Linked DNA regions of Rattus norvegicus. The protein of the gene in region 1 interacts with the protein of each later gene in a biochemical or structural test. Links are inferred from orthologs where the notes say so. Each region holds a gene or a part of one and is shown on either strand. Other genes may lie near its edges.

Evidence for each region.
Region 2: of the proteins of Cdk2 (region 1) and Npat, one has a biochemical effect on the other in vitro, tested with the Homo sapiens proteins (2 studies listed by BioGRID, with this or other methods). The link is inferred for Rattus norvegicus from reciprocal best matches to the Homo sapiens genes CDK2 and NPAT.

What each region holds. Positions count from the first base shown.
Region 1 is NC_086025.1:1,713,819-1,716,466, forward strand, and holds the end of Cdk2 (cyclin-dependent kinase 2), read right to left. Parts: coding exon of another isoform or gene 2,579-2,648; intron 2,283-2,578; coding exon 2,079-2,282; intron 1,826-2,078; coding exon 1,721-1,825; 3' UTR 574-1,720; downstream 1-573. UniProt on the Homo sapiens protein: Serine/threonine-protein kinase involved in the control of the cell cycle; essential for meiosis, but dispensable for mitosis. Phosphorylates CABLES1, CTNNB1, CDK2AP2, ERCC6, NBN, USP37, p53/TP53, NPM1, CDK7, RB1, BRCA2, MYC, NPAT, EZH2.
Region 2 is NC_086026.1:62,863,581-62,867,234, reverse strand, and holds the end of Npat (protein NPAT), read right to left. Parts: coding exon 3,083-3,654; intron 1,918-3,082; coding exon 1,840-1,917; 3' UTR 170-1,839; downstream 1-169. UniProt on the Homo sapiens protein: Required for progression through the G1 and S phases of the cell cycle and for S phase entry. Activates transcription of the histone H2A, histone H2B, histone H3 and histone H4 genes in conjunction with MIZF.

The DNA.
Region 1 (2,648 bases):
TCCGGTACTGAGGGTTGAACCCAGAAGACCCAAGGCTTGTTCCCAGTACCACAGCGTGCTGGCTGCTCGTTGCCCACAGCTCGCAGCTGACTGTACCTCTGGAAGAGATGCAGCGTCCTCTCCTGGCCTCTGCGGACACTAGAGACTCACATGTACACACAATTTCACAGTCAAACAAAACCCTACACAAAATGGTAAAAGCTTCCTGGGAAATGGTGTTGAGATGGATGTCCCTGAAGCCCACTCAAGTCAAGTTGCTGCTAAGAGAAAAACTGAAACGGTGTTCTGTATTGGTGTGCCTGTGTGCATAGGGGAAAGTAGGAAGGAAGTTTCCCCACCCTTAGAAACACCCCACCACAGCGCATGGCAGATGCCCTGCATACACAGAGATTAGGTGGAAGGATATGAACTATATACTGACTATTCTCATTCAGAATTTCACCCACACCATTCTTTCAAGTAAATGAATAAATGATAAATATGAAAGAGATTCACTATACACCTGAGAATATTTTCTTTTAATGAATTACAAACTAAATTACAAATAATATTAACAACACTGGAGGACACACCTGAGAATATTTTCTTTTAATGAATTACAAACTAAATTACAAATAATATTAACAACACGGGGTGGGAGAAGGAAATCATAAAAGAAATATTTTCTTTAAACAATTAAAAAAAAAATCCCAAAGTGCACATGGTAACAAATCCATCCACACTGACAAAAAAGAAAAAAAGAAACAACAAACAAAAAACCATTGAAATATCCAAACTATTCTAACTTGAAAATATAAATATAATTGTTCACTCTTTTATAGAAAATTTCCCCCAATGACCTAACCCAGCCTTTAAAAAGTATCAGCATTCTCGAAATGTCTCCTAGCTCGCTTCCACTACTAGGAGTGAGGGTGGCTCTCAGAGGAAGATGGTAATAAGGCTCTCTGACAACTGAAGAACTGAACTTCCCAAAGGAGGGCTCGAACGAAATCTGGCTCACTGGTGGTAGGTACATTTGCTTAGTGAGGGCAAGGTCCTGGGTTCAGCCGGCAGCACCAGAAAACAGTAAGATTGCTAAAAAGGGAAATTCAAGTGTCTTTCACCTTGCCCTGTGAAGCACACAGATCAGAGTGAAGCGTAAGCCTGTGCCCTCCTGGCTCTTCTTGCCTGGGGAAGGGAGACAGGGCTCTGGAGGGAATCATTTCTTCTGTTTCTCCAACCAGGCTTCCTTGGTTGCTAGATGAGGCCAAACACTAAGACTAAGGTACAAATGGCTTAGGTCTATTTTTTTACTCTAATTCATTAAAATGGACCCCTCTTGCTTGGTTCTGAACTGTCCCAACTTAGGCTTCTGCTCATTAGTTTAGAAAACATTGTCAGCAGGAGTCTGGGGGCATTTCCCTCAACACGGTAACTATGAGACAGTCTTAAGGTTGGGATGGCAAAATCTGACACTGGGGAGAACTGTCAGTTTTGCTTCAATACTAATCCTTCTCAGTGATGACTGGGAAGAGGGAGAGAAGCTGGAAGTCGGGTTAAGTGCATCTAATGCCAAAACTTTCTCCCTTTTCACCTAATCCTTCTCTGCACCTCTGAATCCCCAGAACCGGCTGGCCCAGAGAAAAGGCTAAGACAGCCAGAAAACAGCAGAAGGCTGACCTGTGTCCAAAAGGCCCAGGATCAGGTCAGACCACAGGTGAAGAGGGCTTTGGGAAGGACATCAGAGTCGAAGGTGGGGCACTGGTTTAGTCACATCCTGGAAGAAAGGGTGAGCCAGGGCTGCTTTGGCTGAAATCCGCTTGTTGGGGTCATAGTGCAGCATTTGCTGGAGAGAGAAATACAGTCTGAATTCAGTGATGGGGCAGTGGGCCAAAGGGACAGCAGGTGCACTGAGAAACTTGGGAACCAGTATTCTCACCCAGTTCTTGTTTCCCTCCCCCTGCATCTGAACCAGCCTACTGATGAAGAGAGGAAGCGAGGGCTACCCAGTACTACTTCTAACAGATTTGGGCTCTCTTCATCCAGGAAAAGCTCTTCTCTGTAGAGTGGGAGGGCAGCTATTGTGGCCGGACACTTACAGATAACAAGCTCCGTCCGTCTTCATCCAGGGGAGGCACAACCTTGCTAAAATCCTGCCGAGCCCACTTGGGGAAACTTGGCTTATAATCAGGCATAGAAGTAACTCCTGGCCAAACCACCTCATCTGGGGTCCCCAGAGTCCGAAAGATCCGGAAGAGTTGGTCAATCTCAGAGTCTCCAGGGAATAGGGCCCTGCGGGTCACCTGAACACAGGGAGAGGGAAGCAAAGGCCACACTGATGTCAGTCCGCATTGCCCCGGTACAAAGGAGGCTCCCACAGTCAGTGAAAGGTCAGCAGGGCCCATGACTCCCCTCCCCGGGGCTCATCATGGGGTCGGTCATACAGAGCTTGAGACAATGAAGTCCCTTATCTGTCTCTTCGCCCCTCCTTCCTTCCCCCAACCGTGGCATCATAGATCCCCAAGGCTGGGTGGGGCTGGGAGGGGGTGAATGTCTGGGGTGCCACTGACACGTAGCAAAGGGATCCCAAGCCACTCACGGGGTATGGGGTAGACACTGCGGTCATCCCCCCTCCTTGTGATGCAGCCACTTCTAGATAGGAGCACAGC
Region 2 (3,654 bases), on another chromosome or scaffold:
AAAAAAGACAAAAGCAACCTGACAAGAACCCTGAAGCAGCTCTGTGTATGGCGCATGCCTGCAATATTGGCACTTAAGAGGAGGCAGATGAAGAGGACTAGGAATTCAAAGTCACTGGACTATGTAATGAATTCAAAGCTAGCCTGACCTACAGAAAAGACACTGACTAAAAATAGCATGAGTTAATTTATATATGATTCTCATTATGCATCACACAGATGGGAGTTCATGAATTCCTGAAAAACACAGAGAATTAACTAAGCTACAAATAAATTTAATCAAAAGTTTCTAAATAGGACTGTCAATATAAATCCAAACTGGTAAAGTTAATGAAAATATATTTATTCAAACCTAACCGTAGGATAGACCCAAGCTGAGTTATATAAACATTAGCTGTATGCTTAGTCCCTTAGGTATATATCATAGTCATATAAAATTTCTCAAAATATAAATCTGTACAGTAAAATCTAGCAAGTAAAAAGACATAATTTATATATTGAAGACGTTTTTTGTTGTTACAGTTGGATGGATTTATTTCTTAAAGGCCCAGTACAAAAAATGGTTGAAGAAAGTGACTTTTTAATAAAATATACACCCGTAGAAAAAAACCTTAATATACTGATATTTAAGCAGTAAGAACTTAAGAAAACACTTCAATATCTAGGCACAATCGGTCAAGTATTAATGATAATTTCTGTCATTCCTTTAAAGTTTAAGCCAGCTTTTCAACTTGACTGTTGTTTATGAGTCAGTCTAACAGAGAAGGCACCTCTCACTCCCCTAAGGACCTTTTGAGAGTAATTATTTATAACACTTTAAAGAACGCGAGGTTCTATAGGTTATGTATAAACACAGTTATTTACATATCCCATTTGAGGGTAAACTAAATTACAATATAACTATGATTTTCATTTTTACATCTTAAGATGGACATGACTTTCGAAGACACCAGAAGACAATCCTCCATATAAGCTTTTACATACAAGATTTAAATTAATGTGCATTGGTCACTAGTATATGAAAAGTCTATGAATTAGTGCAATTCTTTGTATTCCCAGTGCTTAGGGAAAGTTTACATATAATCAAGAAATCTCGACTACTACACAACTCAAATTTTTATGGCTCAATAGTCTAACCACTTAATGTTCTGTAAAAAATTTCAAAAAGTTGTAAGTGAAATATCAGAACACTTAATAAATGGTTTATAAAAATCTCTTTAAAACAAAGAGGATAGATGATCAGAATAAAGTATAAAACTTCAGAAATATAGATTTTACTGAAATTTATTTAGGGTGATAAAATATTGACTCTAGGGGGAAATCATCAAACTGTTGTTTTCTGATTAGATATTTTACTAACCAGTTGAGGTGGTCATCATTATTATTTTTTACTTAGTGGCTTATCTAGTATTGGCTGAAGGTAATTTATAAGAATAATCATCATCTTCCTCCAAAGGAGATGAGAAACTACTCCAGAAGAATAAGCCTCGGGCATCACAGGAAGTCAATCAAGACAGTGTGGGAACGTTAGGTTGATTTAAGCTCTATTTTACACAATGTACACATGTACAATATACAGTGTCACAGCTATACAGTTTTGCAGACAGGGTTTACTTACATTTCTGCGTATGTTCTTTTTGTCTAAAATACAAATATTCCATGAAAGTCTATTTACAAACTAGGAAGCTGCTTCAGAAACAGCATGACTTAGATATAAAGTGAAACCTCAGTACAGTCAAAGTGCAGGTCATGTTTGCAGTCTGTCTCTATCCCATTTCCTACGCGCAGTCTGAAGGACACTAGTTTTAAATAGCTACTGGTCTCTATGTCAGGGTGTCCTTCACTCATCATAATGCAGTGATAGCAAGAACTTGTCCACATCCATTCCTGCTGGAAATGAACTAGGTAGCTTCTTTTTCTGTCAAAATAAAAACAAAAAAGAAGGAAAAACAATAAACTCTAGGCCAGATAATTTTCTTAGCAAATCACCTAAAACATTAGATTCTTTATTATAATGAAATTGCATCATTTTTGAGTTTGCTACAATCTATTTCTATAGGGAAAGACAGAGAGGTTTTACTAACCTAATTCAATGTTAGTTTAGGGCAAAAGGCACAAATGAAATCCAGAGTATATACATGTGAATGCTGAGACGAGAGAGACATGCTTCCTTTAAGGTGGTCATTTTTGTCAAATTGTAAATTTTACAAAGCATTACCAACAGATACTGTTTTACTACACTGATTTACTCTCTGCACGTGCACATGTGTGTATGTAAGTCAAAGGACTGTTTCTGGAAGTGGTTTTGCTTTTACCTGGCTCTCAAGGATTGAATTCTATAGTGGGTCAGCCTTGAAGACACACACCTTTGCCAGCTGACCCTGCTGCTAACGCACATTATCACTCACTCACCGAGCTCCAAATGCTAACACAGAGGAGGTGCTTTTAAAGTATTAGTCTATAACACACTACCACACCACGGGGCGAGACTTATGATTTTAGGTTAAATGATGAGGCAGAACAGGCCAGATTAGCCATGAATAGGCAGGCACAGCAATGACACACACTCCATACAGCATTCAAACTCAGGCTTGCAGGACACCAAATCTAAAAGCCACTTCTCTAACTTTTACTTTCTCCCCTACGGCATTCACATACTTTCCATTTAATTTTTTCGGTAATTTTAAGTAAATGCATTTTATTTATCAATCCTTGTACTGCCTTACTACAGACAATCCTGGTTAAAACACAAGGACATGAGTTTTTCTGCTACTCTGCCAGACTCATTACAGACTGTGGAAGAGATGGAGAACGCGTGGTGCTCCCCATGGTAATTCACGTAATGGTAGTTTCCCACACTTCTGTATCTGCATGAAAAATCCTGGGTGATACCATGACAGAAACATTCACTTGTCCTCAGGATGTCCTTAGAGACAACTTGTATTGTTGGGACCAGGAAACAATACTAAGTGCATGGTTCTGAGGATACATTTAGTCATATAGCTGCAGCAAGGACTTCTGACCTCTCTAAACTCTGAAGGAAGGGACAGGAGTGGAACTGAAATGAAAACTTTCAAACTTGCCTTGATTTTCTTCTTTTTCATTGGTACTGATGAATTTGCAAGATTTTTACTAGAAGTGCGGGAGTTCCTCTCACACTCATCTAATTCCTCAATTTTTCGTTTCTTCGTAGTGCTCCTTGAAGATGTTCTAAATTGCTGCGTGTTATCTTTTAGAGGAGTTGCTGTAGTCCTAGCAATTGCTGCTCTAGAGAGAATCATGAGCGTGTGGGCAGCCATGCTCACGCTGTTTTCGCTGCCCGTTTCACTGGCTGGGCTGCAGGCAGGCAAGTCAGCAGTGACAGCTGGGATCATTGCTCTGGGCACGCTGCCTTCCTCACCACAGCGTCTACTAGCAGGGGCCTTCATACTGTCAGTAGGCTCTTCTTTATGCTTTTCTCCTGCTCCTGCGCCAGTCGTCCGGGGTCCCGGCAAGTCACTATCAGCAGTCCTATTTGCTGGGTTGTGTAGTGGAACATCCTGCAGAGTTTCTAGCCCAGTTAACGAGCCGGCAGGTTTACTCTGCTCTTGTTTTTGATCCTTCACAGTCCCACTTACAGTAGTGGCATTTTTATTGTTTGAGGGTGTGGCTTGTT